Linked DNA regions of Pelodiscus sinensis. The protein of the gene in region 2 interacts with the protein of the main gene of each other region in a pairwise test. Links are inferred from orthologs where the notes say so. Each region holds a gene or a part of one and is shown on either strand. Other genes may lie near its edges.

Region 1 (7,910 bases), on a different chromosome or scaffold from region 2:
ACTGGTCCTGCCCCCCCCTCACTCCTCCCCTGGATGAGCCAAACATGGTGCGGGAAGAAACAGTCGGCTGCGTTGGAAACGAAATCGATCACCACGGGATGCTCAGCTCTCTGCCCTGAGTCGTCAAGAAATAGAACATACAACAAGATCATCCCAAAGGTTACAGATCACACCCCACAGCCAACTGGCTTACAACAGGCCTGCATCGTGATGGAGGGGGAAAATGTTCAAAGTCGCTAAGAGAGGGACGTTGACTGCTAGAATCGGCATGAATTCCTGCAGCTGACCCGGGGTGCTGTGAATGGCACCTTCCTGTGCCGGCCCACTCCGACCAATACCTCTGTGGGGATTCACCCCGAGGCAGCTTCTGGCTGGCTGGGGTTCCACGGGGATAAAATGAGAGCACCTCCCATGGGCACCCCCACTTATTGGCCCAGGGTTGGAGAGGCTAAAGCTGTTTTCTGTCATCATGACCTTCCTCAGCCCCTGGGTTTACACTGGCAGAAAGCTGAACCCATCTCACTGGCCACGCAGAGTGCTAGGTGGCCTTGTCCCAGCCGTACAGAAGAGCAAGGCTGTCTCTCAGAGTAGGTGCCCCAGGGCAGACTCCTTACATCAGAGCGGCCAGACTGGGTCAGACCAAAGGTCCACTTAGCCCAGTGTCCTGTCTGCCGACAGTGGCCAATGCCAGGTGCCCCAGAGGGAGGGAACACAACAAGTAATCCTCATGTTAATCCCTCTCCTGTCACCCATTTCCAGACAGCGGCTAGGGACATCATTCCTACCCATCCTGGCTCATCGCCATTGATGGACCTAACCTCCATGAATCTATCTAGCTCTTTTTTTAACCCTGTTAAAGTCCTAATCTTCACAACATCCTGTGGCAAGGAGTTCTACAGGTTGACTGTGCGCTGAGTGAAGAAAAACTTCCTTCAGCCATCTATGCCCTTTGCAAGCTATCCAGAAGCAGGAGGAGCATGAGAGGAAGCAGGTCACATCTAGCAGAATGCAGGAGCTGTGCACCTGGGCAGACCCTCGGTTCTGTGGAGGCAGCATCCTGACATAGGCCTCACAGGGCTCTAGAGCAGGATTTCCCAACATATGGGTCACCATTACATTTCACAAGGGTGGCCAGGTGTCTCCCCAGGTGGCTCTTAAGGAGCTATTCACACATTTTTTGAATTGCCCTGGGTCACCAAGTCTTCCTGAATTGTCAAAATGGGTCCCCATCTGGAAAAGGTTGGGAACCGCTGCTCTAGAGGGAGGCAAAACACCCACAGCGCCCTTGACAGATTTTTCGCAGCTGTGTAGGGAGAAGAGACGCTCTTCCTGACCCTCATGGCAATCAGCTTGTGCCCTGAACTGTGGGACGTAATTAACCCCCATTTTAGCATGTACAAATATGGGTATTTTTATACTGCACCATGACCACACACAAGATGCTTTGCAGACTCCTGGAAACAGGAGTTCCCCTCAGCAAAGACCTCACGAGAGACGGGAGCAACACAACCTGCTTTCCCCACAGTCATAAGGAACAAAACTCACTGACTGGGGAGTTCCTCTAGGTTTTCTCTCTCTCTTCATGCAGTGACCAGCCCAGAAGCCTCCCTCCCAATCAACATGCCCAGGGAAAGGTGTGCAGAAGCCTGGCTCTAAATCATTCCTTCCTTTGCATTTCCTAGCTCTCGGCGTTCCTCCAGTGACAGTAACCCACATCTCCCCTCTCGTGGGCCTTTCCGCAGGGCTGGCGCCGCACACGAGTCCAGTGCCAGCAGGCGGAGAGGAAGCGAGTCAATGGTGCCAGGCCCACAGCTGCCTGGCTCTAAGGCAGGCTCCCCTCCCCTCCCATGGGGGCTGGAAGTGGGGGGAGGGTTGCTAGGGACCCCCTGGCCTGGAGCAGTTTCCATTTCACACGGGATACATAGGGTGGGCCTGTGGCTTTCGGGCCCGACATACACACTGTCCCTGACCCCGGCCGCGCACGCTGTCTCTGCCCCCCCCCCCCATCGCTGTGCACACTGTCCCTGCCCTCCCACCCCACGCCCCGGCTGCGCGCACTGTCCCTGCCCCCCCCAGCTGCACGCGCACTGTCCCTGCGCCCCCCTCACTGTCCACGCACTGTCCCTGTTCCCCCCCAGGCTGCGCACGCTGTCTCTGCCCCCCACCCATCGCTGTGTGCACTGTCCCTGCCCTCCCACCCCACACCCCGGCTGCGCGCACTGTCCCTGTGCCCCCCCTCACTGTCCACGCACTGTCCCTGTTCCCCCCCCGGCTGCACGCGCCCTGTCCCTGAGCCCCCCCCCACTGTCCACGCACTGTCCCTGTTCCCCCCCCCCCCCCGGCTGCGCACGCTGTGTCTGCCCCCCCTCCCCCCATCGCTGTGCGCATTGTCCCTGCCCTCCCACCCCACGCCCCGGCTGCGCGCACTGTCCCTGCGCCCCCCCCCCCGGCTGCACGCGCACTGTCCCTGTTCCCCCCCCCCGGCTGCGCGCACTGTCCCTGCGCCCCCCCCCCGGCTGCACGCGCACTGTCCCTGCGCCCCCCCCCCCCCGGCTGCACGCGCACTGTCCCTGCGCCCCCCCCGTGCACGCACTGTCCCTGCGCCCCCCCCCCCGGCTGCACGCGCACTGTCCCTGCGCCCCCCCCCCCGGCTGCACGCGCACTGTCCCTGCGCCCCCCCCCCGGCTGCACGCGCACTGTCCCTGCGCCCCCCCCCCGGCTGCACGCGCACTGTCCCTGCGCCCCCCCCCCGTGCACGCGCACTGTCCCTGCGCCCCCCCCGGCTGCACGCGCACTGTCCCTGCGCCCCCCCCCCGGCTGCACGCGCACTGTCCCTGCGCCCCCCCCCGTGCACGCGCACTGTCCCTGCGCCCCCCGGCTGCACGCGCACTGTCCCTGCCGGCTGCGCGCGCTCCCCCCGCCGGGATACCTGCGGCGCGCGGGCTCTCCCCGAGCAGCCCCCTGCCCAGCCGCTTCCGGCAGCGTCAGCCCCGTGCGCGGGAGCCGCCACCGCGAGGGGCAGCCGGGGGAGCATGGGCTGTACCAAGTGGCGCCGCGCGGGGAGGGGAGGGGACGCGCAGACGTACACGCAGCAGCAACTCTGTGTGTGTGTGTGAGTGACAGGGCTTCTGTGTCTGTACCAGTGCCTGCAACACACTGTGTGAGAGACACCTGGGCTGTGTCTACATTGGCATGATTTTGTGCAAAAGCAGCCGCTTTCGTGCCAAAGCTTGCTGCCTGTCGACACTGGCGGGGAGTCCTGGCCGAGAACACTGACGGTCTAATGCGTGAACTCAGGGCTTCTTGCGCAAGGACTATGATGCTCCCGCTCAGGAATAAGCCCTTTTGCGCAACTGTTCTTGCACAAGAGGGCAGTGTAGCCAGGCAACATGAATTTCTTGCGCAAGAAAGCCCTGTGGTTAAAATGGCCATTGGAGCTTTCTTGCACAAGAGAGCGGCTACACTGGTACGGATGCTCTTGCACAAAAACACATCTCTTGCGCAAAAGCACATGCCAGTGTAGATGCTCTCTTCTGGAAGAGTTTTTGCACAAGAACTCTTCCACAAAAGAGTTCTTGCGCAAAATCATATCAATGTAGACGTAGCTAAAGGCTACGTCTACACTGGCGTGATCTTGCACCAGAGATATGCAAATGAGGCTAAGTGTGGAATATTGCCGAGCCTCATTTGCATATCTAATGAGCCGCCATTTTTGCAGAAGAGGCTCTTGCGCCAGAAGGAATTTCTACACTGCCCCTTCTTGCGCAAGAAAAACCCTCTTGCGCGATGCCGTTATTCCTGAAAATAATCAGCGTAGCGGCATTGCGCAAGAGGGTTTTTCTTGCGCAAGAAGGGGCAGTGTAGACAGCTCCTTCTGGCTCAAGAGCCTCTTCCACAAAAATGGCAGCTCATTAGATATGCAAATGAGGCCCGGAGATATTCATAGAATCATAGAATCATAGAATAATAGGACTGGAAGGGACCTCGAGAGGTCATCGAGTCCAGCCCCCCGCCCTCAAGGCAGGATCAAGCTCCGTCTACACCATCCCTGACAGATGTCTATCTAACCTGTTCTTAAATATCTCCAGAGAGGGAGATTCCACCACCTCCCTTGGCAATTTATTCCAATATTTGACCACCCTGACAGTTAGGAATTTTTTCCTAATGTCCAATCTAAACCTCCCCTGCTGCACTTTAAGCCCATTACTCCTTGTCCTGTCCTCAGAAACCAAGAGGAACAAATTTTCGCCTTCCTCCTTGTGACACCCTTTTAGATATTTGAAAACCGCTATCATGTCCCCCCTTAATCTTCTTTTTTCCAAACTAAACAAGCCCAGTTCATGAAGCCTGGACAATGTAGCACTTTAAAGACTAACAAGATGGTTTATTAGATGATGAGCTTTCGTGGGCCAGACCCACTTCCTCAGATCAAATAGTGGAAGAAAATAGTCACAACCATATATACCAAAGGATACAATTAAAAAAAGTGAACACATATGAAAAGGACAAATCACATTTCAGAACAGAAGGGGAATGCAGGGGGAGGGGGGAGGAAGGAAGGTAAGTGTCTGTGAATTGATATTAGAGGTGGGGAGAGTGGGATGTTTGTGAGTTAATGGTATTAGAGGTGATAATTGGGGAAGCTATCTTGATAATGGGTAAGATAGTTCAAGTGTTTGTTCATTCCTTTTTGGAGAGTGTCGAATTTTAACATGAATGACAGTTCAGAGGATTCCCTTTCAAGTGCAGATGTAAAAGGTCTTTGTAGCAGAATGCAGGTGGTTAAGTCACTGAGAGAGTGTCCTTTCTGGTTAAAATGGCAAGAAACTGTTTTTCCATGCTTAGCCTCATTTGCATATCTCTGGTGCAAAATCATGCCTATGTAGACATAGCCAAGGGGTGTGTATGTGAAAAAGAGACACACACATAGAGATGGGCAGGGGAGGGCTGTTATAAGACTTCATGTCTTAGGGTTTGTAAAACATTTTGAGATTGGTTGTTAATAAAAATGTTGTTTTATAGAGCACTTGCCATCCATAGCTCTCAAAGCCCTTCGCACAGGAGGTCAGTAACTCAGTTTCCATTTTACTGAGAAGGAAACTGAGGCAACAAGCACACACACACACATTTAAAAATCACTCATGAAAGTTACAAGGAAGCCAAAGGGTTACATGTCAAAGTGACCCAGCTTGGGTATCTTGGCTGGTCTTAAAATAGCCCCTTTATCTCAGAGTTTGCAGCCTATTTACATTAAATGCCATCCTGAAGGAATGTAAGGTCTGTTTCTTGACTGAGATAATTAGATCTTTGGCTTAGTGCACTGATGGCCTTCATGCATCCACAGGCACATACCACATGCATATCATTTAGCACCATAGTGATAGAAATGTAGCCGTGTTAGTCTGGGGTAGCTGAAGCAAAATGCAGGACAATGTAGCACTTTAAAGACTAACAAGATGGTTTATTAGATGATGAGCTTTCGTGGGCCAGACCCACTTCCTCAGATCAAATAGTGGAAGAAAATAGTCACAACCATATATACCAAAGGATACAATTAAAAAAAGTGAACACATATGAAAAGGACAAATCACATTTCAGAACAGAAGGGGAATGCAGGGGGAGGGGGGAGGAAGGAAGGTAAGTGTCTGTGAATTGATATTAGAGGTGGGGAGAGTGGGATGTTTGTGAGTTAATGGTATTAGAGGTGATAATTGGGGAAGCTATCTTGATAATGGGTAAGATAGTTCAAGTGTTTGTTCATTCCTTTTTGGAGAGTGTCGAATTTTAACATGAATGACAGTTCAGAGGATTCCCTTTCAAGTGCAGATGTAAAAGGTCTTTGTAGCAGAATGCAGGTGGTTAAGTCACTGAGAGAGTGTCCTTTCTGGTTAAAATGGCAAGAAACTGTTTTTTCTTTGTGATCTTGTCTGATATCTGTTTTGTGGGCATTAATCCTTTGGCGAAGTGTCTGAGATGTTTGTCCAATGTACATAGCAGATGGACACTTTCGGCACATGATAGCATAGATTATATTTCTGGATGCGCAGGAATATGTGTTCTTGATCTTATAACTCACTTGGTTAGGTCCAATAATGGTATCAGCAGAATGAATATGTGGACAAAGCACCAGGATCTCTTACAGATCAAAGCACTCCCATAGACCTTAGTCTGTCCTGCAAGCACACATATCTTTCACTTTACTCAGCCCCTTTGCAATCAATGAGACTACTCACATGAGTAAAGTTACACATGGGTGTAAGCTTTTGCTTGGTCACCACCTCAGTGTAGACAGTCAGAACATGAGGAGTAGCAACTAAGGAAGGAAGGTAGAAGGAAATAGTTGAGCAAGGGCTACAGCGTGAAAATCATAAGATGGATTGTTGCAGATGCAGCATAGCTCGCTCCCCGTCAATTTTAGTTTTGCTGCTTGTCTGCAGAACTGTATAATTGCTGTATGTTTTTGTGGGCTGGATAGGAGGAGATCTCTCTCTAATCTAAACACTGGTTTGGGAGTCCTGAAGTCAGCTCTTATTTTGCCCATCAAAATTATTTAAGTTCCATCTTCCAGCTATGAGTCCTAGCCCTCCCTACCCACATACTCTCAGAACTTGATCTTTACTACGTTGTACCCATTTATGCTTCTGACAAATGTTGCTGAGGTCCATCTCTTGGTACACCACACATCCTTTGGGCATACGGATTCTGTAAACTACTGGGTTTTTTCAGCTGTCATTGAAGTCAATGAAAACTGTGGGTCCTTCTCTCTTTCCAAGAGAAGGCTAATTATCAGACTGGGCCAACATTATTTTCTTCAAGTCTGATTAAATACTGAACATGGAAGCCCTTGGTCATGGAAGGATCCCTGATATGTTCTGTAAGTATGAGCTGTTCACTGCACTCTCCTGCTCAGATTTCAGCACCTGAAATCACATGCAGCCTTGTCTAGCTTTTCTGCAGCTTCCACTGATTAGGATGCTGATCTACACTGCCTGCTTTAATCTGTTCCCTTGTGTTCCTGTGCCTGGGGGAAAACAGCTGACATGTTCTCCTGAGGTGGCCACATTTTGCAGTGGATCAAGTGATTCTCATCACTTGTCACGTGCTTTGGGATTTTGTGGGAAGAAAGGCTCTAAGTCTATCTAAATGTAAGATTACAGCAAAACCTGATTTGGACGCCATCTCACACAGAAGGCCTACATCTTAAGCAATCACTTCAAACACCCAAACAGCCTCAATACTGCTTCCTTCAAACTACCGTGAAAACTGTAACTACCCCTGAATGTTAACTTGAGTCCTGCAGTGACTCATTTACACTCAATGTACAAAGTCTTTAAAACTGAGGTGAGAAGCATGTTGGCCTTCCTGCAAAAGCTTATACTATCTGGCTGCTCAGGGTGTGAAAGGCATTGGTGGTGGGAGACTCAATCCAGCTCCCAGTAGACTTATTCCTCATCACAAAATCTTAATGGGTACAGAGACAAGAGCTGGTCCCCTTTTCTGGTAATCTCAGCAGATAGGACAGTTAGAGGTAGAATGGTAAGAGGGTAGGACGCAAGCCTAGGACTAGGGACAACTGCATTTAAGTCTCTGCTCTATGACAGAGTTAGGAAAGTTACTTAGCCTCTGTTCCTGCTCTGTAAAATGACACCACCACTGCATGGGGTGTTGGGAGGCTAAATATACAAAAGACTGTGCAGTGCTCAGATAATATAATAACGAGTGCCATAGAAGTATTGCAGGCTGTTGTAGTATAAGGACACCCTACATCAATGGGAAAAGATCTTTTATTGATGTTGGCAATCCATTTCTCTAGGAGCCAGTAGCTGTACCTACACAGGGGAAGCAGTCACTCTGTGCACAGGGTGCAAAATTTTTCACATCCCTAAATAATGTAGCTGAAACAAAATACA
Region 2 (7,855 bases):
TTGCAAAAGTGGAAGGATTTAGTCACAAAAAATAAAGCCCGTACATTTTTTTAAATCAGTCTTGTTCAATACATATAACACTGCATTGTATTATTCTTCATTTGCATGCTCATTTGATTCCACCACAATGTCTAGTACACAACTAAGAGGAAAGTTGTTATAGGAGAGCAACAATGTTCTAAAATTATTCCAGGGTATATTTATCTTGCTCCCCTGTATATTTGAAAACTTAGATAATCAAGCTAGACGTAAAGGCACGAACGAGTGCTTTCCTTTGCCTTGCTCTCTAGGATAATGAGTCCAACATCCCCATCCCCCCCCCTAATTAAAGGAGAGGGAAAGAAAGAATTGAGTCGCACCCAGTCATTACAAAATTGAATGAACAAAGTCTCATCGGGGGTTAATTCCCCACGTGCTGCCGCTGCTGCATCTTTAAAATCTCACAGGGGAAAAAAGTGAAATCCAAATTATGAGTTGGAAGAGTCTGTTTGCGTTTAATGAAAACATCATCTGACAAGCGACTCTGCTTACAGACTCTTTAATGGCAAATCTGAACTACTCTATAAAGTTTCCCACCAAGCTCCAGAACGGTTTCAAGCCAGCAGACACCCCCCCCCCCCCCCCACAAGCCAACAGAGGCTTCGATGAAGTGAAGAAGCTTCCAAACACTCTGCTCTTTAGCTCACAGCAGTTGTTTAATTCCCGTTGCCTCCCTTTCCTAATCAGACAGATTTAGTGGGAACAGCCCCGTTCTTTCACTCGCCGTTTTTAAACAAGCTTGTTACTTCAGAAGGAATTTCCTCTTTTGTCAGTTTCCCCCCAGTTGCGCCAACTTGAGATTATCACTGGCTCCCTTTGTCTGAGTGCTTTGACGGGTGAGGGTGCCCTGCGATCTGTCCCGAGCTGGAACGCTGCCCTCCCTTCCCATGTGTGATTCTCGCCCCCTTGCACGCCGGACTGTTAATCAGATGCGCCGTAATATGAGTCAGCCCTGACAAATCCCCTCCACACTTCTGCTCCCCGCGAGTCACCTACTCGCTCGCCTCGCTCACGCACCTGCTTCCCTGGGACTAGCCCACCACCAGAGAGAGCAGGACGGGCCTGGCCCTTTGCAACTGTCCCCTATTGACCCCTCCGGCAACGCCACGTCCCCCGTGGCAACAGCCGTCAGTTGCCACACATCTAGTCGCCCCTTGCCGAGCGATCCCCGCGGCCGCTGCTCGGGAGCCAGCCAGGCCTGCATGCGGGGCCACCCTTCAGAGACAGCCCTGCCAGCGCTGTGCACCGACTCCCAAGGAGTCTCAGCCTCCCCCGCCCCCGCCTTCACATCACCTTTGCTGGCTGCCTCGTGGCTCTTTATACAACTCAACCCGGGGGGGGGGGGTCAGAGCAATCACTCTCAGCCCAGAGTTTACAATCAGCTCTCCTGGTGCACGCCTCGCCCCAGCCCCACGCCCCCCTCCCCAGCCGGCGCTCGAAGGAAGGAGGCGCCCTGCCCATGCAGCCTGGGGGTGGGGGGGAGGGTCAAGAGTCGCACAGCACCGGGCTGACACTTGAAAGCGGCTGAGGAAAGAGCAGACACCCCCCACCCAGCACCTTTCTGGCCCACTCGGAGCACATGGCCCAGCCCCGTGCGCCCGCAGCAGGGAAGGGGGAGAGGGGCACGCGGCGAAGAGAGCAGGCTGCTCCAGGGCTTGCTGAGCGGCACCACTAGGAAGAGGAGCGGTAGCTGCCCGGGCGGCGTGTCAGGGCTGCCTGTGTGAGGGTGGGACGGAGGCGGAGGGGGGGGGGAGGGGAGAAGCGGAGAAACGTGTGTGTGTGGGGGGGTGTCTTTACCTTGCGTTGGTGCAGTCGTTGTAGAGGGTCTCGAAATCCTTCCTGGAGATGAGTTTGCAGCGGTTCACGCCAGGCTGGATGGCCCCCAGTCCCCTCAGGATGCGGACCTGCTCCACGTTGCACACCACGGGCGTGATCTCCAGCCGCTTCAGCTTGGTGTAGACGGTGTGCAAGCCCCCTACCAAGTGCTTCAGGAAGAGGTCGAAGGCCTGGGGCAGGCAGATGAGCTCGCAGCCCTCCACGGTGAAAGAGGCCACCTTGGCCCCCCTCAGATCCACCATCTTGCACTCATTATTCTGGGGGGTGTTCTCCACCGGCGACGGGGTCGAGTACACCGGCTTGCCCGGCAGGCTGCTGCCGCTGCTGCTGTTGGCGGTGCTGGCACTGGGGGTGGAGGTGCCGCCGCCGCCGCCTGCGCTGCTGCTGCTGCTGCTGCTGGTGCCCAGGCTGGGGCTGCAGCTGCTGCCGCCGCCGCCTCCTCCGTTGCTGCTGCTGCTGCTGCCGCCGCCTCCGCCGCTGCTGGTGGTAGAGGTGACTGTGGCCGCCGCTGCTGCTGCCGCCGCCGCGCTGGGCTCCGGCCGGAATAGGTTCGTCCCCGAAGAGGCTGGCGGGGGAGCGAGGGACGGAGACGGAGACGAGGTGGCCGACGAGGTGGTGGTGGTGGTGGTACAAGCGGCAGAAGTTGAGATCGGAGGTTGAGGGGGGACCAGCTGGGTCGGAGGGATCAAAGCAGCCGGTACGGCCATGGTCACATATACGAAGTGGGGGGTGAGGGGCAGGGGGAAAAAAGTTGCCGCGCTGACAAAAAGGGGGGAGGGAGGGGAGAGAGACTTGGGGGGGGAAGCCCCAAGCCAGCTGCCGCCGAGAGGCAGAGAAAGGGGAAGAGCGAGCGAGAGAGAGAGAGAAATGCACAAAGTGTCCCGCAAGTGGGGAAGGAGAAGTCCGCTGCGCGTAGTAGGGTTAGGGTTTAGGGGAAGGGGGGCGGCGGAGGGTGGTTTGTTTTGTGGTCCTTGCTCTAGCACCAAGTTAAAGATGAAGGTGAAAAGGAGGAGGTTTGAAGGACTTCGGTTCTCTCTGGCAAGTACATTGATCAAAGATTGAGAGGGGAATGACAGAGAGAAAATGAGCTGAAAAGTGCTGGCTGCTGCTGCTCGCTGCTCGCTCGCTCTCTAGCTCTCTGGACGAGTTGTTGTTGTCACACGGTGCAGAGGGGAGGAGCTCCGGCAACTTGAAATACCCTTTGAAGCAGCAAAAGCCTCACTCACTAGTATTAACCCAAATTATCCAACCAGGAACCCGGAGCAGAGAGAGAGAGAGAGAGAGAGATCCCTCTTCCTCCTCCTCCTCCCCAGAAACCGTTAGATTATATGTTTCATATTTCATCTCAACAGAGACGAGATGTAATTTTCAAACACTTCTAAGCGATCCAAACACTCTTGACAGAGAACCAAGAACACATCAAGTTTTTCTTCTTACAAGAATTAGGGCGCATCTTTTTCATAACGTAGAACATGGGGAGTAGAGGAAGGGGGCGGAACTTTACTCGACTACACACCTTACGAAGCACTCTTTATGAATAGCCTATCTATTTGAAAACAAACAAAAAAACGGATTATATTTCTCAAGACAGCAAACAAGCCAAGTGACAGGAATGAAAGTTAATAATAAGATTCCAGAAAGAGCATAATAATTATCACTAGATCCCTTTATTGTGTGAAAGACTAGTAATTGTAAGGAGCATGTAGCACTACAGGAGAAAGAAAAGCAAGCGAAAAAATATTTACAGAAAACGAGACATTTATGGATCAAAGAATACCGAGCACTTGTTTTTCATACAATTTAGTAATAGCACTTTTTGTGCTAAAGGATTCTTCTGGCAAGGGCGACCGCAGTAATTTTTAAAGCAATGAACAAGTGCCTGTTTTCATCTGTAGGCTCCCATGAACTTTTTGATCACAAGTGTAACGCTGTTAAACAAGAAAGGCATTTATGGCTGCCTTCATAGCACATAGGATCCAACTCACGTTTGATTGATTGTGTTTGTGATAGCTACCAAAAAGGAGGTCTTTTAACTAAAACGTGTGAAAAGAATTAGTTTGTAACATTTGTTCTAATCAGGTTGAAGTAACTTTTCAATAAAATAGCCAAGAAGTCACAGAGCTGAAACTGAATGCTTACTCCCACCCTGTTTTGTCTAGGTATTGCAACGGTCTGTGAACAACAGGTGACTGCAAGCCACACATCCAAGTTTGATCATTGATACTTTGACCGTATCAGCAGGTATGCTGTAAAATTAGCTGTTGCGCTTGCCCACACATGCGCAGTAGCTAATTTTATAAGCTATGCAGTTATATATTTGAATTGTGGGATCAGGCCGCATATATACTGTAACTCCTGGAAATTCTAAGGGTTAAAGGTAACATTTTAGTCTGAATTCGGAATTTCCTTTTTGGTTCTGGTTGGGGGAATTGCTTTGGTCTTCTATTTATTTGGGGGGTTTCTGGTTTTTTTTTAACAAAGCAATATTCTTTGTACAAATGTATGAGCTGCAGCAATACTATACGCATTATTTAGGGGGTTTTAAACAATGTAAATTAATCACTCGTAGTCTGTGACTCAACCTGACCCTTGCCTGTTCTTTTTTTTAAATGTGTAATATTTATATGAGACAAGAATCATGGGATTACAAGTCTAGATGGATGATAAGAATCTTAATGGAAACTATTTCTATAATATGGAAGGAAATCACTTTTTCAGTTTGCCAATAGCTATTAGTGTTCTGTTATGACTTGCTTCCTCACTACCTGTGAGATTGCTTTTTAAATTCCAGTTTATTTAGTTATGAATACCATAAGGTGTCTTCAGCGAGTGAACTTTTATTTTCCCAATACTCTATTTTTTTCTTCTTTTCTTTTTTAAAGCTGTTCGGTTATCACATTCAAACTTGAATCTTGTGTACCAACAATACAAGTTACAAAGTTCAAGAAACACAAACAAACCTTAAAATAGGAATGCATATGGAACTTTAATTGTGGTGCAGCCTGACGTTGAAAATACTTTATAGGCCTTGAAGATGTAACCGAATTGCAATTATTTTATTTTCAGGTAACTTGGATCAAAGTTGTTGAAAACCTACTGCTGGCAGTCACTCTTTTAATTTCCCTATTTTCACACACTCATATACATTCGATAGTCATTAAACATGCGCCTGAGAAAGTTAATGCAGGGCTGAACAGTTGTGATGTAACCATTTCACCTCAATCCCTGAATGAATTCTGAATTTATTCAAAACGCCTCCCCCATGTCCCTGCCACATATCACTTGCTCTTTACCTACTCTGCAACAGGATGCATTCCTGATTTTCTTCTAAATGTGTGCTCTCAAGGACACCCATTGTGTTTTTAAATAGTTTAAAAATGTGGTTTGTAAATTATTTGCTACAATAGTTTTGGTTAACGGTACTGTTTTAATGAAACAATGGGATTAGAAACCAACACATTTATGAAACGGTTCAAGAATCTTCAAAGCTTCTTGCTTGGTGAGTGTTCCAAGCAATTAAAGCAAACTGGGTTTATTTTAACCCAGAGACTCACACCAACAAATAATGGTAGTTGTCGTTTCCTCTCTTCAAACTTTTTTTCATATTGCATTTTGATGTCACGTCGATCCTTTCAAGAAATGATATTGTTAGCTTCGCCTCCCAACACCCCAGAATGTATATCAGTAAAACTCTAAGCACTAGAACTGATTTGAGAATTCTCCCTGTGTCAAGTGAAGACTTATGGTGCTGAAATCAATAAGACTGCTTAAAATTCAAAGACCTGCAAATCGTTCTGTTTGTCCTTTGATAGGGCCTGTGCTGATTAAAATGCGACCAGGAAGGCTTAATTGCTGCACTAATTAAGAAGTCTTTAATTTTATTCCTGGGATATTGTTTGAAGCAGGGTTTCTCTTGTGCTCACATAACAGTTCAGGGCAGGTACTCTGTTTTTTTCCCCCTCTTTATGACCATTTCGGTGAAGGAGAAGGTATATTGAAACAGTAAGATGAATGGATAGTTATAATTTATTATTTTAAAAATCAGCACCTGTTCCGGAGCTCACTATTTTATTAAATCCAGTTTTACGGTCAGCTGAAATATGTAAGATGTAATTAGGAAATGTATTGTAGCTGTTCATTTTAAGTACTCTGAATACCTGACCGCCTGGCACCCTCTAGACACCAGTTGTTACTGTAAATAATTTCAGTCAAACAGAAGAATACTAACTTCAGAATGTCGGGTAGGAAGAAGGAGAGGGGATTGGTGCAAGAAGGTAGGTAGATAGTGATATATATCCAGACATACGTTAAATTCATTAACATAGATTCTATCTGCATTTATTTTGACATCCCCTCCCGAAAAATACACTATTCTATTTTATCGCCTCTCATTCTTAGCTATTGACCTATTTTGTTCACCGATTTTTCAAGTGGGGAAACTGACTACATGATTTCACAAAGCTTTCTATATGATCAATAGCATTTTTTTTAGGTTTATTCATACTGCAATATAATTCTGGCAAACGATTGCAAAGCAGAAGACTTCTGAGGAAGATACCTTTCTTTTGTAAATATTTGTAAGTTTCGTTGTGCTTTAAATATTTAGGCTCTCCATTCAGCGTCCCTTTTCCTGGAGTTACCTGTATGTTTGCGGGGAGCCAGGGTAAAAGGTGACATATATCGAACCACCCATGCATTCTGAAAGGAAAACGGAAAGTTATAACAATGTAAGCTTAGATGCTGGGGTCCTTTTTTCACTAAGATATTTGCTGAACCTTTAAATATGTATTGAAAACACGAATACATTTGAGATAGATGTAACATCTCGTACCAACAACTAGAAACTAGATACCACAGTGCTAGTTTTCGAAATTGTTGCATTATAGTAAAATTAGCCCGAACCTCACCCAATACAAATACATACTGGACAAGATGATAACATGCTTAATAGCTGCAAAGAAAGACTTACCATTCCAAGCACGACGTCACGCTAATTATGTTTATTTTAATTGAAAGCAAGGTTTGGGGGGAATCTGAAATTACTTGTAGGATATTTAGTAATAATAAAAATAATAATTAATAAAGAAAATACACCAAATGTTGATCCCAAAACCTTTAAGTCTTTCGGAATCTATTGGAAAATTAAATGAAAAGTGGAGTTTGGTACAAACAATGCCCCAGGGCAAAAAAAAACAACTAACACTAGATTTTCCAGCCCAGCCATAACACAAATCAATTTGAGCACACTTCTATGGCCAGACTGCCAGATTGTTATGACTGCTAATTCACTCAATCAAACAGTGCATTAGCACGCCCGGTGCAAACAGCTTTAACAATAGCATCCACTTCTGAATAGTCCACTATATATCATAAGATACAGTACATGGCAATAGTTAACATTTGTTTATCACCCCGAACATGTACATTTGCTAAGTGTTTTAACAAAAAAAATGCGCCGAACAACTTAAAATGAGTTAAAAAAAATCACACCCTCGGACGGTATTTAAAAATAGCCATAAAAGTTTTGAGAACATTAAGAACTTGGGAGAAATTGTGGTCTGGTCTTCGCTTTAAAACACAGTTCTCAGCTATCTACACGTCTAAAGTATCTCACTGGAAATGGATTATCCCACTATTTATTTTTTTTTTTTTATTTTTTTTTTAATTGTACACTCTGCCTCACCAGTTTCACTGAAGACCGTAAGGGCCTTCTCTCGCGACGTTTGATCACGCGATACTCCCACTGAATTCTATGGTAAAATAAGGATTTAGTCTCAAATGGATAACTTCAGGTCTCTCCCTTTTAACCCCAGGAGTAACGAGAGGGTTATTTGTACTGATTTTAACGGATGATCTAACCAAAGAAAAGGTTGCACTAACCTCCCCCCTCCAAAATGGATATCAATCTTCTTTCCCTGCCCATCCCCCCAGTATGCAAATTAGATCTACCAAACGCTCATGAAGCATCTTGCTTATTTGA
Region 3 (7,796 bases), on a different chromosome or scaffold from region 2:
AAAGTCTATGAGTCTATGAGTCTATGAAGCAAAGGCACCTCTCTGAGTTAATACCCACTTCACAGACTGTGAAGCTTAAAAGAGATACAATTAAAAACAGAATTAAACATAATTTCAAGTCCCTCGGCCAAAAGTTTAAAAGTGTGTGTTTGTTACTTGTTATTCCCGTAGCCAAATTTGGCCTATACAAACAAGGAAAACAGAATTATTGCATATGGGAACCAATGAAGCTAACTACACACGCACTATTGTGTCCAATATAGAATTCAATGCCCTGAACAAATACAAAATAATATTTTCTCAAAGTTGACACTTACAGTAATGCTCAGTGTTACCTGTGATAGTAAGCAATATTTCTTTAAAACATTTTAAAAATGATAATGTACTTTATCTAATATTTCAAAACTCAAGAGTCTTGGGTGAAAGGCACTACAAAAATGCAATGCAATGCAAAAACACACTAGATGGACATGAAAGTAACTCAAATATCTACATCAATTTGCTTCTAGAGTCCCCCATGGAATAACGTAATGTATGACAAATTGTTCCTGACTTTGATGTTTCACGAAAATAAAATAAAAATGTTTGGGGAGCCACCTTTGGAATATATGTATGAAAATATAAAGTATTTTTTTTATAAAAAATCATTTTAGAATAATGAAAAACATCTGGACTCACCACTCACAAATATTTTGAAATTTTGGGGCAACTCCAGACAAATTCTTGTTTCTCCTCCTTGGGCAGAGTCTGCCCTCTTAAATTCATCTTCATCATAAATACTAGCTAATGCCAGCAGCTCATCCTCCTGAGCTTCCTTATCTTCTGAAGACATTTAACTTTTCTGCAGAATTAAGAAACCAACCAAAAAAATCAAGGACTAAATAGACAATTTGAATGGTCTGTGTGTGTGCGTATATATATAAATGTCACTGAAATGAAAATAAAAAAAACCACAATAGCACAACATAAAAACATACCATACATAATTACTCTTTTTCTTCCAGTTACAGATCCCACACATGCTCTATCATTTGTTGGCAGTTTTAAAGTTCTAAAAAATGGCTCTCTTCAAAACCCAGATAATCAGAGACTAACTCTTAGAAAGTCAACGGCTGAAGAACACTATAGAATGAAATATGTAAGGCAGTGCTAATAGTATCAAGGTTACACTTTATTCATTTGATGAGATGGAAATCGGAGACTGAAGAAAGAAAAAAAATGACAGCTTATGTAGCTGTACCCAGGCTATCTTTAAATAACTTACTAAAGAAGGAAGCGAGGATGTAATAGTGGGCAGCCCAAGACCATTATGGTCCCCTGGCTATGTGCCTGCACTACCAGCCCACACTGCCTTGTTAAACTATCTAGCTAGATGAAAGATAGTGCAGGTACCTCTCTACACTAGGGTTGCAAAAGTTTAACCATTTAACTGGTGGGGCTGGAGCAGCTCTCCACCTGCCACGGGCCGGAGACTACTCCAGCCTTGCAGGGGCTGCTCTGTCCAGGACACCAAAAATTAGCCCTCCAAAAAATCCCTTCCATTGAAGTATTGTCTACATTACAGAAGCACAGATGTACAGCATACATGGATTCAGACTCCTGCAACACTTAGTGCTTGTCTTTGCTGCAGTTAAGACTTAGTTATAACTCAAGTATTGCCCCTAATCCAATACCTGACCACACACAAAAATCTTAAGTGCAGTGACACTTTGAACTCAGGTTGGCTGGCTGGTCAGGGGAGTGCAGACTGCAGCTCAACTACAACAATCCCTCAGCTTCTCTCACAATTGTTTGGAGGCAAATCAAATAATATTTCCAGTTCCCAGTGTGCCCACTCTTGCTGGAACACTTAACTTTAGCCTGGGCAGCTTGAGTTAACACCACAGAGTCCACTAACTCCAGACCAGTGTCAAACACATAATGCTCAACACCCAGGGCAGTAATACTCCAAGTGTGGTCCATGACCATCTTGCAGGTGGGCCACAGGCTCCTCCCCTGCAGTGGTGGTCCAGTCCCACAGTCTTCCTTGAGAGGTTGGAGTGCCAGCACCGGCTTCCCACTTTGCAGGGTGGAGGAGAACCTCCCAGGCCAGATCTGGCTTGTGAAGGAAGTGGCTCCACATTCTGCCACTCGGTGTTCCCTCTAGCCAGGGAAACAGCAGTGCAGGAAACAGCTCACCTGGAAGCTTTCCCTGCTGCTCCCATTGACTGGAATCACAACCAATTGAAGCAGTGGGGGCATGAAGCCAGGTAAACACTAAGGATGTTAAATATCCTGTAATTGAACAGTCGTGTAAACACATGAAATCTTATCATTACATGACTGACTAGTCGATAGTCCCCGGGGCCAGGGCTGGCAGCCAGTATATTCCAAGGAGCCTCCTGCCAGCCTCTGATAGACAGCAATGCAGGGTGGCAGGCAGGAGCTAGAAGCACAGAAGGGAGAGTGGGTAGCAGGTGGCACCGGGGAGCTGGTGCTGGGGAAGGGGGGAAAATGGGATTTTAAGGAAGCAACAGGGGGGGAGGGGCAGGTAGGTCCAGGGAGCTGACACACGCAGGGAGCCTGCTTGAAAGCGGGGTCCTCGCAAGTATCAGCCCCAGCCTAGCCCCTTCGGGCCGCTGCCTCCATCAGAAGTGGGGGCGGCAGACGGGTCCAGGGCTCTGGCCCGCACAGGGACAGGGCTGCGAGGGAAGGGGAAGCGCCTGAAAGGAGACGCCGGCCTGGCACGGGCGCTCCCACGGGACTTTAGGAGAGAAGCGTCAGGCCCCGGATTCTTAGACACTTTCCCAGGCAGCCCCGCCCTTCCCCTCAGGGCTGCCCGGCTCCAGTCGCCTCAGCACCCCCGTCTCCCGCGCATTGCCAGCGCCGGGCCCCGGCCGAGCTACGGACCGCGAGCCTCCTGGTCCCCGCTCTCACCTGGGCCCGGGCGGCCTCCACCGCTTGTCCGCCCCTCCCCGCACGGCCGGGCCCAAGAGCGGCCCCGGTGAGCTCTAAGCAGCGCTGCCAGGAGCCAGCGCCCCCTGCCGGAGGGAGGAGGGCCCTGCGGAGCGGGACGGGGGAGTGGCTGGTCAGCGGGCCGCGCGGACAAGAGGAGAGGAAGGTCTGAGCGGCGCCCGTCTACGTCCAGCCGAGGCGCAGACGCGTGGGAGCCCAGCCTGGCTTTCCCGAGGCTGCGAGCCCTGGCAGCTCCAGCGCTGGAGAGTGCGGGGTGTGTTCGCCGCCGCCTGGCCCCCAGCACGTGCTCTAGGTGCTAAGCGTGCGGGGACCGGAGGAGAAAGCACGTCCTAGAGCAGAAGCAACTTCGCCTACCAAAAACCTGCCTGCAGCAAGAGCCATGACTGCCTTTTAAACGAGGCTGCAGGGAGCCTCAGTGGGTGTGGGCCAGCCCAGTGAGCAGCCACATCACCACGCCTCTTCTTTCAAAATAATGGGCTTATTTCAAATTAACACTGCTGCTTGTATTTCAAAGAGTTATTTGGGGAGGTACTGAGGGGTTAGTATAGACTAGTAATGGCAGTGCGGACCAGTGCTCCCTTTAAGATTTTTCCAACTGTGAGAAGAATGAGTTTTGGCTTGTGCATCAATATTGAGGTTTGGCTGGGCACCACCATGACTATGCTGACCATACGGCCCAGAAAATCTGGAAGAGTCCCAAATTTTAATTGCCTGTCCAGGTGCCCCATAAAACACTGAAAACATCCCAGAAATGGCAGCATAGCTACACGTGGCTGCACTTTTCTGTTTCTTCTCCTGGGGAAAACAGGTGTGCAGGGACTTTTGCACAGATTTTTCCTGCTGCGCTGGAACCTAGCCAAAGCAGCAGGAGGCAGCACCTGACTTCTGGTGCTCTGGCAGGAAGGCAGTTCTTGCCTGCTGCTGCTTTACCAGCATGACTCCTAGGTGGCCCCCTTTGCTGCCTTTTAAACTTTGAAGGAGGAATAAGAGATCCTCCGGAAAAGGGCTTTATTCCAGAGGATCGCACCAGTCTAGATGCTTTTTTCTGGCTTTTCTCCAAGCCGGAAAAAAGCGGTGGACATCTTTATTTAAACCCCCCGCAGATTTCCCTATTCTGAAGTTGAAAATTAGCATGCCCCTTTCGGAAAAGGGGCCAGTGTAGACGTAGCCATAATGAACTAAGTTATACTGTTTTAAATGCCACTAATGATAGATCTCTATTTTAGAAAACTTAACAGCCAATAGTCTGCAGGACCTCAGACTACATCTACACAACAGAGCTATTTCAGGCTACTTCTGGTATTGTCAAAATACCACTATTTCAAAATTAAATTCAAAATGATCTTATTTGGAGGCATAAATTGTGTAGCTTAAATCAAGGTAAGGGTATATTTTTATGCATCCTTAGACTAACAAAAATGTAGATGATTCATCTGAAGGAGTGGTTGTGCCCACAAGAGCTCATGATACCATCTACATTTTTATTAGTCTCTGGGGCTCTGTCTACACTCACGGCTTCTTGGGCAAGTATGACTGTTCTTGCGCAAGAATCTGCAGAGCCTTTACGCTGCCCGCACGCTCTTGCGCAAGGAAATTTACAGTATGGTGTGGTAAGAGGGCTTCTTGCGCAAGAGCTATGCTCCTTAACAGGTGTAAGCCCCCTTGCGCAGGAGCTCTTGTGCAAGAGGGCAGTGTGGACACTCAGCAGGGATTTCTTGCACAAGAAAGCCCTATGGCTAAAATGGCCATCGGAGCTTTCTTGTGCAAGAGAGCATCCACACTGCCATGGGAGCTCTTGTGCAAAAGCATAGCATGCACATGGCAGTGTGGACATTTTCTTGCACAAGAACCCTTGCGCAAGATGTTCTTGCGCAAGAAGCCGCGAGTGTAGACATAGCCTAAAGGTGCCACAGGACTATTTGCTGTTTAAGTTTCTTGAAACTTTATTTTGGAAAAATCACTAAAGGTGAAAAAAGCAATCCCATCAGATACTGCAAATTCACAGGGCCTTGTGTAAATTCAAAACTTGTGTCACAGGAATCAATACCTTTTATTGAACCTTACCCACCTTGTGTGTGTCAAACCAAAAACTGCTTAAATTCTCACAGGCAAGAAATTGCATTTTAACATTGTTAAACTTTTTTTAAAAATCAGTTACTTTAACCTATTATTCCAAAACTTGGAGGAAGCATGTTTATGCCCTTCAATGCAGAATTTAAAAAAAGGGAATTTCGTTTAATTATAATTCCATTTACTTCAAAATGACAAACGAAGCATTTCAGGGATGATGATTGCAAATAAGTGATAGATTCAAAGTTGGTAAATAAGTATCCATCACCATCACAACTCAAGCAATGCTGTTCTCCTTTTAATTCTGGTTCTCCTAATTCAGTTCCTTATGTAATCTTGCCTATCAAACTGTAAACTCTTCCTAGGAAGGACTTAACTTTACTGATAGTTTAACAAGCTAGTCTAACTGGAAAAATGTAACAATAAATAGTCTAGCAGCACTAAAGACTAACAAACATGTAGGTGATATCATGAGCTTTTGTTGTACCCACAAAAGCTCATACCACCATTTACATGTTTTGTTAGTCTTTAAGGTGCTGCTAGATTTTAAGTTTTGATAGTTTACACATTTAAGAAATTGTGGCCTCTTTTTGAAAAATACTTTTTGCATTGGTTGAAATACTAACTTGATGAGTAACATTGCTTGTTGCCTGTGTTAGCTCCACCATGGGCGGGAGGGGGAAGAGGAGATGGAGAAGGGTGATGGAGAGAATCAAATGGAGCATAATCTGTAGGTTGGTTTCTCTTCAGAGTACACAATGTATCCAGGATTTCAGTCACAACTGTAACTTAAAATGTACTTCAAATTTTGAATCCAATTATACTGATCTTTCAAAAATATAGCATCCACTACGCTAGCCACATGTGGCCATTTGGCTGGTTGAGTGTGGCTTGTTTGTAAAAGCAATAGAACTGGTTGCACACCACAGATATAGAGCAAGTTCTCAAAAATAAGACATCCCTTACCCACACACTATCAGAAGCAAAAGGAAATCAGAACTATCTGGAGGAGACAAGACAACTATAGCCTGAACAAAGTTACAAAAATAGCCAGCCTTTGCACAAGAGCTGTTATGTTTGATGATAGCTTGGTCTGGCTATCATTTGTACAGCTGACTCAAGAATAACTAAGGCCATATTTTATGATCAGATAAATTAAAGGTATCTGTTCTTCTAACAGCTAGTACCAGCAAAAGACACACTGAAATCAAATTTGAATTCACGCAAGGTTGACTCCAGCAACTGAGAAGCCACATCCCATTAGAGACAAATAACAGTTTATGATAAGTTGTTAACTATTCTGAAGCAAAGCATAGTATCTAATACCATCAATATGAGCAATGTAAAGCAAGGATGCAGCCAGTGATCTTCTGTGTTTTAGATAATTGTTTGAAATTCCCCTATTATACTGACCTTACACACCTATGGCTACTTAACATTTGCTGAATCTTCATATATCAATGGGATTCCATCCTCAAACAAGCTTTTTGAAAAACAGGAAGTATAGTTAATTGGTGGAACTAGAGGATGGAAAGGGAAGAGGTGTATGATACCACAGGTTTCCAGTACTTTCACTGAAGGATGAGTGGGATTATAGGAGTGTTAGTGGTGTAACTAGAGCTAGCACTGAAGTAATTCAAGCTAAACTGATGAAGGCTGATGAGTCCTAACATTAGCTCAGAGATCATTTGGAGCAGTACTTGTAATGTTTCACAGTAGGCCGTATAGCACTTTTTCTTAAAATGTTTCCAGTACTTGAAATGGGTGCTGCAAATACTATGAATTACGAGTTCTGGGAGCTTCTTGTGAACAGGCACTGTACAGGAAATATTGCAAAACTGGTATTATCATTTAACAGCAGGTTAATTAGCCACAACCATTTACCTTAAGATATTAAGATGTATACCATTTCTGATACCCCATAAAATTGATTTAATTGAGCTATAGTAGAAGCACAATGTTCTAATTAATTTATTATAGGAACACAAATTCTTTCATTTGTCTGGAAAGAGCAAATGAGCAGATTGTACACACTGCAACTTCTTGTTCCTTCAAATACATCCCTGTGGCAAATAAATTGATTAGTGACAGACCTCAATTCTATCACCAACCTAAATTGTAACAGTTACCTTGGCCACAGTTGACAATTAAAAAAAAATAACCCAGTACAATCCAGTGAATTTATTTCTTGTAATGTGTGGATGTTTCAACTTTTGATTTAAAACATACAAAATTAATGTTTTCAGGTTTCTATGACAATTATGAATACTAGAAGCCAAGTCACAGAGCAGCTCATTAAAAAAACCAAATTTATCTTACTGGAAGATAATAAAACCAAGCATTTCAAATGCAGGCCTTATAGAAGCAAGTACAGCTGAAGCCCTTTCATCTGGCACACTGGGGGAACAGGGATGCTGGTAAATTGAAAATGCCGGTGAACTAAGAGGGAGGCATTTGGAGTGCTGAGCAGAGGCATGGAAGGGGCTGCAGGGCATGAGCTCCAGGAGTTTGGGTTCAGAAAGGGGGTTGGGGCAAGGGAGAGGTTCAGGATGCCAGATGGGGCATGGTCACCTCTGGTGGCTCCCGTAAGCAGCTTCCCATCCCTGCCAGAGGCATGGCCAGGTAGCTCTACTGTCTCCATCAGCAGGTAACAATCCCTGCATTTTCTGGCCGCTACTGTGTCTGCACTCCAGGAGGGTGGAGACAGGTGGCATGTCAGCAAAGCCAGTTGGCTATGCCTCTGCCAGCCACAGCAGCAACAGAGAACCATA

The links.
Region 1: the proteins of DACH1 (region 2) and C2H1orf35 interact in binary tests that used the Homo sapiens proteins (3 or more experiments, as listed by UniProt). The two-hybrid records come from large-scale screens. The link is inferred for Pelodiscus sinensis from reciprocal best matches to the Homo sapiens genes DACH1 and C1orf35.
Region 3: the proteins of DACH1 (region 2) and RNF14 interact in binary tests that used the Homo sapiens proteins (3 or more experiments, as listed by UniProt). The two-hybrid records come from large-scale screens. The link is inferred for Pelodiscus sinensis from reciprocal best matches to the Homo sapiens genes DACH1 and RNF14.

Annotation. Positions count from the first base shown.
Region 1 is NC_134712.1:252,797,945-252,805,854, reverse strand, and holds the start of C2H1orf35 (multiple myeloma tumor-associated protein 2), read right to left. Parts: upstream 3,075-7,910; 5' UTR 2,930-3,074; intron 1,984-2,929; exon of another isoform or gene 1,546-1,983; intron 116-1,545; 5' UTR 47-115; coding exon 1-46.
Region 2 is NC_134711.1:269,754,702-269,762,556, reverse strand, and holds the start of DACH1 (dachshund homolog 1), read right to left. Parts: upstream 3,021-7,855; 5' UTR 2,583-3,020; coding exon 1,837-2,582; intron 1-1,836. UniProt on the Homo sapiens protein: Transcription factor that is involved in regulation of organogenesis. Seems to be a regulator of SIX1, SIX6 and probably SIX5.
Region 3 is NC_134727.1:24,328,478-24,336,273, forward strand, and holds the start of RNF14 (E3 ubiquitin-protein ligase RNF14), read right to left. Parts: upstream 3,075-7,796; 5' UTR 2,917-3,074; intron 2,814-2,916; exon of another isoform or gene 2,179-2,813; intron 842-2,178; 5' UTR 833-841; coding exon 679-832; intron 1-678. UniProt on the Homo sapiens protein: E3 ubiquitin-protein ligase that plays a key role in the RNF14-RNF25 translation quality control pathway, a pathway that takes place when a ribosome has stalled during translation, and which promotes ubiquitination and degradation of translation factors on stalled ribosomes.